3 linked regions of the Cricetulus griseus genome follow. The protein of the gene in region 3 interacts with the protein of the main gene of each other region in a biochemical or structural test. Links are inferred from orthologs where the notes say so. Each region holds a gene or a part of one and is shown on either strand. Other genes may lie near its edges.

Evidence for each region.
Region 1: the proteins of Irf1 (region 3) and Spi1 form a complex in vitro, tested with the Homo sapiens proteins (2 studies listed by BioGRID). The link is inferred for Cricetulus griseus from reciprocal best matches to the Homo sapiens genes IRF1 and SPI1.
Region 2: the proteins of Irf1 (region 3) and Trim28 form a complex in vitro, tested with the Homo sapiens proteins (2 studies listed by BioGRID). The link is inferred for Cricetulus griseus from reciprocal best matches to the Homo sapiens genes IRF1 and TRIM28.

What each region holds. Positions count from the first base shown.
Region 1 is NC_048599.1:85,642,624-85,645,735, forward strand, and holds the end of Spi1 (transcription factor PU.1), read right to left. Parts: coding exon 2,982-3,112; intron 2,166-2,981; coding exon 2,000-2,165; intron 1,256-1,999; coding exon 936-1,255; 3' UTR 628-935; downstream 1-627. UniProt on the Homo sapiens protein: Pioneer transcription factor, which controls hematopoietic cell fate by decompacting stem cell heterochromatin and allowing other transcription factors to enter otherwise inaccessible genomic sites.
Region 2 is NC_048602.1:25,608,766-25,612,419, forward strand, and holds part of Trim28 (transcription intermediary factor 1-beta), read left to right. Parts: intron 1-3,179; coding exon 3,180-3,231; intron 3,232-3,346; coding exon 3,347-3,530; intron 3,531-3,654. UniProt on the Homo sapiens protein: Nuclear corepressor for KRAB domain-containing zinc finger proteins (KRAB-ZFPs).
Region 3 is NC_048600.1:67,924,814-67,927,396, reverse strand, and holds part of Irf1 (interferon regulatory factor 1), read right to left. Parts: coding exon 2,502-2,583; intron 1,800-2,501; coding exon 1,623-1,799; intron 1,537-1,622; coding exon 1,487-1,536; intron 1,391-1,486; coding exon 1,261-1,390; intron 918-1,260; coding exon 795-917; intron 327-794; coding exon 277-326; intron 1-276. UniProt on the Homo sapiens protein: Transcriptional regulator which displays a remarkable functional diversity in the regulation of cellular responses.

The sequences.
Region 1 (3,112 bases), on a different chromosome or scaffold from region 3:
AAAGGCTGTCTGGGAGACTCCAAGGGTTTGCCTGTGGAGTCTGTGAAGAAAACTTTGTGGCTAGAGAGGTGGTTCCCCTGGTAAAGGCTAGGCCCCTAAACACAACGACCAGAATACTTCACGGTGCCTGGAGCTTTGGACTTAACTGAACCATTTCCTCTTCCAGATAGGCGGAGCTTCCACCATGCACTGGAGTGATGGACAGCCCTGGAATGGACCGGCGTGGCCACGTCCCAGCTGTGTGACATCGAACTAGTTATTTAATTACTTTGTGCTATTGCTATTGTCATCACTACCATCACTACTAATTTGTCGTGTCTAAGTCAGAAGATCATGAGTTCAGGCTTCACTGAGACTTGAGCCTCTGCTGCACAGGGCCTTTCAATATGATCCCTGCCCTGATTAACAGCCTGGGACTTGTTTCACTAGAAACAACCTCTGTGTGTCCATGGTCCCCATGTCTCCAGTCCAGCTTTGGCTATATGTCCTCTGCACAAGTGAGAAGAAAGACATCTGTGCACTGGGTAGTGCACCCTGGACCAGGCACATAAAAACTCTTGAATGAGACTCTGCGCTGGGAGAATAGCTGAGAATAATTTTACTTCTCTTTGGGAGGCTAATGGGTAGGGGTGGGTGAGGGGAGGAAGAGCCTTAAAAAGAGCAATCAATATACAAAGACGCCAGACTCCCAAGGAAGCACCGTGGCCACTAAGCCAGGCTGACCCTCGGGTGGGGTCCGAGGCCCAGGTGGCCCTTGGGCCGGGCTAGAGTCTTGGTGGGAGGCGAAGCGAGGCGGGACGGGCCAGGCGTGGGAGGGCGCGGCCGGGCCCCCAGTCCTGCCTCGGCCCTGGGAATGTCCTCCCTGTGTCCGGGCCCGGCGAGGGGTTAATGCTATGGCCGGCGGGGGCCGGGGGCCTGGCGGGCTCTGCAGGAGATCAGTGGGGTGGGAGGCGCCGCTCGGCCAGGCTTCCGCGGCCCAGCACCTCGCCGCTGAACTGGTAGGTGAGCTTCTTCTTGACTTTCTTCACCTCGCCGGTCTTGCCGTAGTTGCGCAGCGCGCGCGCCATCTTCTGGTAGGTCATCTTCTTGCGGTTGCCCTTCTGGATGCCCCAGCGGTGCGCCAGCGCCTCCTTGTGCTTGGATGAGAACTGGAAGGTGCCCTTGTCCTTGTCCACCCACCAGATGCTGTCCTTCATGTCGCCGCTGCGCAGCAGGTCCAGCAGGAACTGGTACAGGCGAATCTTTTTCTTGCTGCCTGAAGGAGAGGGACACTCAGGTGGGGTGTGGACGGGGCACAAGGACTTTCCAGGAACCGCCCCCCCCCCCCCCGTGACCCTGGTAGGTGCAAGCACACACGTACCCACTCCCACTCACGTTCACACCCCTCTATGTATACATGTCCCTGCACCTACATGTCACATGTATGCATACATGCATATATCTATATCTACGCTCACATATCCACATGCCTATCGACAGGCCCTCACATATAGGCACTCACACATTCACATTTACGATACCTCACACACTCACAAGCCCTCACGTACTCAAGACCTCACAAATTCACAATCCATCACACACTCATAGGCCCACACACACTCACAGACTCTACACACATGCATGGGCCCTCACACAATCATAGGCCTTTACATGCTCACAAGCCCCACACTCACAGGCCCATACACACTCAGGCCTTCACATATACACATACAGTCTCCATTCACACGCTCACATAATACTGATGTCCACACACAGACCCTCACACTTTGAAGAGATGCCTTTTCACTCACAACACAGACTTAGAGACCGGTGCAGTAGAGAATCATCCACAAACATGCGCGCGCACACACACACACACACACACACACACACACACACACACACACACACACACACACACAGCTCTGAAACATGGCTTCTGGGCCAAGTGGCCTTAGCTATAGATATGCAAGGGTTGTAAATGCAGCTAGGATCAGCTGGATCAGGGACTGGACCCTACCTGTCTCCCCATGCAGAAGACCAGGCCCAGGCTCCAAGCCATCAGCCTCTCCATCAGACACCTCCAATGGGGGGCTCTGCCTCTCACCCTCCTCCTCATCTGAGCTCTGCTGGTGGGCCGGGGACAAGGACTGATAAGGGAAGCACATCCTGGGCATGTAGGAAACCTGCAAAGGGAAGGGAAGGCTAGAAGTCAAGAAGGGGTAGCCCAGAGCTGCAGCAGGGGTGGGCTGAGTGAGAGAAGGAGTGCTGGGGTGTGGCCGGCAGGGGCAGGAAAACTGAGAAGGGAAAACTAGAGGCTAGTCTGGACCAAAACTCAGGGATGCAGGTCATGGTGCAACGGGCTGCTAGTTATTGAGCCTACCACCCTTCCCACTGCAGCCTCTGGTTTAGGGCAGGCAGAGGTATGCTTTATTCTCATGTACGCCAAGGGGCCATTTGGCCTGACAGTGGACTAGGAATAGAGGAGTTCTGGGGAACAGTGAGATGGTTATAAGGAAGTGAGTGGGGCTTAATAAGAGAGTGATGAGTCAATGACAAGGCAGTGGAAGTCAGTGAGGGGGTGGCAGACGTCGCTGGCTGGGGTTAGGGTCCCTGGAGCAGGGGACAGTCAGTAATGAAGATTAATGGGGAGCCAGAAGGTCGGTAGAGGCTAGCATTCAGTGACTCAGATGCTGAGATGGTGAAGAGAGTAAATGGGGACTATAGTCAGTGGGACCCTAAGGGCCCACAAACAGGAATGGGTGGGAAAGGCGGCTGAGTGCTGGGGGTCACATGGGGTCTGTCCATCCTCTGTGAGATAAAGGTGTAGGTTCACAAGGTCAGTCAGGAGGTCAGCACAGCCGTTGGGGTACCAGCTGCCGTTGGCTCTGTGGAGCAGGAAGCCACGTTGAGTAAGAGCCTATGTCAGCTTCCTGTGAAGCTTCCATGCCTCACCACAGGCCTGGAGGTCCAGGGGACAGAGGACAGCCAGCGGCACGCACCTGGTGGCTGAGGCTGGCGTGGGGCGGTGCCATGGGGGTATCGAGGACGTGCATCTGTTCCAGCTCCATGTGACGGTAGAGCTGCTGCAGCTGCGGGGCCTGCACACTCTGCAGCTCCGTGAAGTGGTTCT
Region 2 (3,654 bases), on a different chromosome or scaffold from region 3:
GGGTTTGGAACCCAAGACTTTGTGCATGCTTGGTAAGCATACTGCCAACGGAGTATACATATCCTTAGTTCCTCGTTTCTTCATCCTTCTTTTTGCTGTACTGGGGACTGAATCCAGGGACTTGAACAGGCTTAGCAAACACTGCTGTACCTCTGGGCTATTTCCTCAGTCAGTCCTTTGGCTATTTTCTTCTTTTTCTATCATTCTTTGGCTATTCACTATGCTTCCTTCTGTCATCACCATGTCTCCAATTACTGACTTTCCCATATATATTGTTTTGTTTTTGGTTTTTTTTTGTTTTTTTTTGGTTTTTCGAGACAGGGTTTCTCTGTGGCTTTGGAGACTGTCCTGGAACTAGCTCTTGTAGACCAGGCTGGTCTCGAACTCACAGACATCTGCCTGCCTCTGCCTCCCAAGTGCTGGGATTAAAGGCATGTGCCACCAACACCCAGCCAAACATATATATATATGTATAATATATATGCTATATTATATATTTTTATGGTGGAAACTCCACCCAAGGCTCCTCCCCTATCTCCAAACCCTGCTGCATTTCATAAAGCCTGCCAAATGATGACCCTCCCCCAGAGAAGCTCAAGACCCCTCCCACAGGGTATTTAAACTGCCCCCTCCCCCCCAAAAAAAGACTTGTGGGTTTTCAGGTCTCCCTTCCCCTATCTCCCCTCTGGGGGACTGGTCAGAGATCTGGGAGCGTTGTATCCATTAAATGTGGGCTTTTTCTAATTCGGTTTGATTTGGTCTGGTTTGGATTGCTGCATCAGTGGAGAGGCTTATTGGGGTGTAGAAACTTTTCATATATTTATATCCGGAGCTAATGGAAGAGCAAGAGCATCTGGAGAACCATAATTAATACCATGATTAATATGAAGTTTAAACTGGTGACGGCCGGGGCTGGAGAGATGGCTCATTTGTTAAGAGCCCTGACTGTTCTTCCAGAGGACCCGGGTTCAATTCCCAGCACCCACATGGCAGTTTACAGCTGACAGCTGTCTGTAAACCCAGTTCCAGGGGATCTGATGCCTTCACACCAATACATATAAAATAAAAAGTATTACAACAAAACAAAACAAAACTGGTTACAGCCAAGAGTAGTGGTTAAGGATATCCTTAATTCCAGAACTCGGGAAGCAGAGGCAAGCTGATGCAATGTCCTTAATTTCAGACTCAGGAAGCAGAGGCAAGCTGATCTCTGCGAGTTATAGGCCAGCCTGATCTGCAAAGGGAGTTTCAGGACAGCCAGGGCTGTGTAGTGAGATCCTGTCTGGTCATGGTGATGGGGTCGGATGGGATGTTTCAATGCTAGGCATGTTGGCATTCCCCTGTAAGCCCAGCTACTCAGGAGGCTGAGGCAGGGGAACTCAGATAATAGCTTGACAGGCCACACAGGGAGTTTAAGACTGGCTTGGGGATTGGGCAATAGAGTAATCACTGCCTCAAATTAAAGCAAGCAAACAAAAAAGGCTGGGGATATAAGGCAGTCAGTGAGAGGTTCAGCACTTGCCTACAGTCCCCCATTAAGTTAGGGGGTTTGCTCAGTGGTGGAATGCTGACCTCACTTGCAGGAAGCCCTGGGCTTAATTCTCAGCACAATACACCCTCATCCATCAAAATGTATATATCTTAGTTTCTGTAACATCTAAGCGTTTATTGCTTAGGAAAAGGAATCTTTTTTTTTTTTTTTTTTTTTTTTTGAGACAGGGTTTCTCTGTGTAGCTTTGGAGCCTATCCTGACACTCACTCTGGAGACCAGGCTAACCTCAAACTCACAGAGATCTGCCTGCCTCTGCCTCTTGTTTGCTGGGATTAAAGGCATGCACCACCACTGCCCAGCAATTTCAGTATTCTTAAACAGGGAGATTATTTTTAATCTGAGTTTATCTGGTGTGTTCTAAATACATATATTGACATTTCTTGAACTTTTATTTTTGATTTTATGTATTTGGATATTTTGTTTGCTTGTTTTTTGAGACAGGGGTTCTCTGTTGTTTTGGAGCCTATCCTGGCATTCACTCTGTAGACCAGGCTGGCCTCGAACTCACAAAGATCTGCCTGCCTCTGCCTTCCGAGTGTTAGGATTAAAGGCATGCACCACCAACGCCTGGTGATTTTTCTTTCTTTTTTTTTTAATTATAATTTTATGTCCCTGGTGCTGGAGGAAGTGAGAAGAGGGCATTGGATCCCTTGGAACTGGAGTTACCGATGGCTGTGGGATACCACGCGGGTGCTTGGAATTGAACCTCTGATGCTCAGCAAGAGTTGCAAATGCTCTTAATCCTTTTGTTTGGGGCAGGGCCTCATTCTGTAGACCAGGCCAATCAGAACTCACTAAATTAACAATGTGCTTTTTTTGTCGCTGTTGTGGCAGACTATGTATCCCAACTTGACTTCACTATTTAGCACAGGCTGTCCTCGAATTCATCCTGTTCTGCCTCTGCCTCTACAGGGCTAGGATCACAGGCACCTGCCAAAGCACTGAGCTACATGCAACCCGTGTCTGTCCTGCCATGGGTCTTAGCACCGGTTTCTAGCTAGCTACAGGGCTTTTTTCATTTTGGGGGGACGGTGTCTGATAGTTACTTCTGTACTTTCTACCAATACCTATTAAAATTTTAAGTTGCACAGGGTGCGGTAATGCTCCGCATTAATCCCAGCTCTCAGGAGGCAGAGGCAGGCGGATCTCTGTGAAAATCGAGGCCAGCCTGGTCCACAGAGTGAGTTCCAGCACAGCCAGGGCTACACAGAGAAACCCTGTTTTGAAAAAGGAAAAGATTAAATTGCATTGGTTGTGGTGTGTGTATGTGTGTGTGTGTGGGGGGGGGGTGTGTGGTGAGTGCACACGCATGCACAGGAACCTAGGACAACCTGAGGGAGGGAGTTGGTTCTTTCCTTCCACTTTGTGGAAGGATTAATGATTAAACTAATAGGGTCAGGGTGGGTTGCAAGCGCCTCTGTTCGCTGAGCCATTTCCTCGGCCTCCATCGCCCCTCTCCCGCCGCTCACCCCCATCCCGTGCCCTGGTTCTGCTGGGCTGGTGCTGCAACCTAGGGCTCTGCACAGGACAGGCGAGCAAGCGTTCTGCCCCTCTTTCAAACCCCCAGGCCCCACCATTATCTACTTTGATCTTGCGTCTGGTACCCTAATATCTGCTCCGGGCCTAGGTAGCCTTAGTTCACAGGCCCCTTACCCTGGAGATCCCGGGGCCAGCTATGGGTGGGGCTGTGAAATACTCCCCAAATACTTCTACGGGACGCCCACACTTCCCCCCATCCCCCCCCCCGTGCTTGCTTCTCCAGCCTGCAGATTATGCCCTCCTTTTTGGAGGTAGGAAGTGAGAGTCCAGGCGCTGGGTCTGGTGGGGGCGTGGCCCGCTGGAGGGTGAGCGCTGAGCTGCGGGAGGAAGGAACAAAGGCTGGGGCGGGGACAAAGCCCCGGGCCCCCAGACGGATTGGGAACAAAGGCCACACCCGGGACAGTGGCGGGACACTCACTCCTCGCCTCTCCATTGCCACGTGGGGGACACCTGGTTCCCCAGCGAGGTGGCAGCTTCCTGCTGTTTAGAACCCTGGACCTGCCAGCGTGCAGCAGTCCAGACCTAGGGTGCACACCGAGGGTGCTCATGGCACTACACGAGGC
Region 3 (2,583 bases):
ACACAGTGCTGATGGGGGCTGACTCAGAGCTGTCTGGGACCCTGAGGCTTGCTTCAGGATGGCCTGCTAGAGACTAGGCATCTCACCTGCCCAGGCAGCAGTCCCCCCAACACACGGGGGTGGGAGGTGGGGGGGGTGGGAGGTAGGGGGGGTGGGGATGGGGGGTGGTACTTGTGGGGCTATGCAGCCAAGTGACAACAGCACCTGCCCACACTGATTTGGAAGCTTTCCCTAGCTTGCTCTCCCTTCACAGATGCGGCATGGAAAAGGATTTACCTTCACGATGTCCTCGGGTAACTTCCCTTCCTCATCCTCATCTGTAGCAGCTGTGAGGAAGGGCAGAGGTTAGCTATACATGTTTGCCCTGAAGTTCCACCCCACCAGCTCCAACCCCAAGCCCCCCACCCAGCCTTCCAACCAGCATCTTGCCTGCCCTGGAGGTTCCAGAACAGGACACTGGCCTGATGACTCACCCTCCCCAACCATGGAGCAAGGCTGTATCCCACCCCTTTACTTCCTTCCTCACCTCAGACAACTGAGGGCAGAGAAGCCAGGAGCACTAGCCACCTTTGACCAAGATGTGGCCGTGGCCTGATTGCCTCCCTCCTGGCCTGGAGCACACAAAGGCTCTAAACTGTCTTGCGTCCCATGGGCTTGTTTCATGCTATGGGGGCTGGGTTAAGCAGTTCCCAGTTCCAGCTCCATCAGCTCAATGGCACGCACATTTCTAAGCATCTACTTCCCCTGCAGAGCCAAACACAAACAGAGGCAGGCCAGGCCCAAAGGGTACAAACCTTCAGAGGTGGAGGGCATGGGCGACACCTGCAAGTTATACAGATCGTTGGTACTGTCTGGCACAATGTCCATCTGCATGTGCCACTCAGGGAGACTGCTGCTGACAACACATGGTGACAGAGCTACAGGAGGGTACAAAGCACAGGTCAGGATGGCATGCTTGCTTTCTTTTTTTTTTTCTTCTGGTTTTTCGAGACAGGGTTTCTCTGTGTAGCTTTGGAGCCTATTCTGGCACTGGCTCTGGAGACCAGGCTGGCCTTGAACTCATAGAGATCTGCCTGCCTATGCCACCCAAGTGCTGAGATTAAAGGCATACTCCACCACCACCTGGCTGATGGCATGCTTTCTTAATCTGCCATAAATCGGCACCTCCACCCTGCAACCTGCTCTAACAGGCTACTCTCTGCTACCACAGTGCCTCTTGGACCCAACCTATGAGCTCTCTTGCCAGATTGGCATCCTCACCTGGGGTAAGGTCCTGCTCCAAGTCCAAGTCCTGACCCAGGTAGCTCTGAGTGGTATAGCTGCTGTGGTCATCAGGCAGAGTGGAGCTGCTGAGTCCATCGGAGGTGTCAGGACTAGCATCTCCGTATAGCTGTGGAGAGAAGACAGCTTAGGCCTGTTGCAGTGCTCTTCACTGCCCACCCTACCTAAGGTGACCAAAGGCTGGGCCACACAGAGCCACACTCACCTTCCTCTTGGCCTTGCTCTTAGTGTCTCGGCTGGACTTGGATTTTCTCTCTGTGGGGCAAACAGGCCATGAGCCCTAGCCGATCTTCCTTCCACCCTTCTTCCCTTCCTTCTGAGGACCCAGTGCCCTTGGTTACCTTTCCTCTGGTTCTTAGTGAGGGGTGGCAGCATCCGGTACACTCGTACAGCCGAGCTGCCCTTGTTCCTGCTCTGGTCCTTCACTTCCTCAATGTCTGGCAGGGAGTTCATGGCACAACGGAAATTTGCCTTCCACGTCTTGGGATCTGGTTCTTTTTCCCCTATTTTGTATCGGCCTACAGAAAGGGAGAGTAAATGCATCCATCAGCTGCTCCCTGGACTAGGTGTACCCCAGACACCCATACTAGTGAAACTAGCAAAAACCACTGGCAATAACCCCCCCCAGGGGGGCTCATGCCCAAGGCTGGCTCAGACATCCAGCAGGCATGTGAAGGGCTCAGTTGAATGCCTTTATTCCAAAATGTGCTCACTGTCTTCGGTTATAACAGTCTCCCTGCTCACACTATCAGCAGCCAGAGACGGCTAATACAGAGGCTTATCTGACGTTTCCAAAGAACACATGTGTACAGAGTGGGCAACAAGGACATTTACTAACAGGTCCTAATTGGACCAAGAACCTGATTCCTAAAAGCCGAAAGGAGGCCACCACCCAGATGAGGCTTGGGCCAAGGCCCCTAGTCCGTACCTTGAGAAAGGAAGATGAAAGTTTCCTTTGGTAGCCTGACTCACAACTCTCTTTGCCAGGAACAACTGTATTCTAGCTACAGACTCCCTGAAGGCATGCTTTCTAAGATTTTCACCTTTATAAATCCTCTGGGAACTTGCTAAAACAATGGATCCCATCCTAGGGAAACACAGGGACACCTCAACCCCTGCTCCAATAATTCTGCATGCTGTGTCGAGGAGCTCAAAGCTACCCAAAGCCTCCATGGTAATAGCCTCCCCTGCTCTTTTCTCTGCCCCACCACCCTGCACACCTGTGTGAATGGCCCAGCTCCGGAACAGACAGGCATCCTTGTTGATGTCCCAGCCGTGCTTGGCAGCATGCTTCCATGGGAT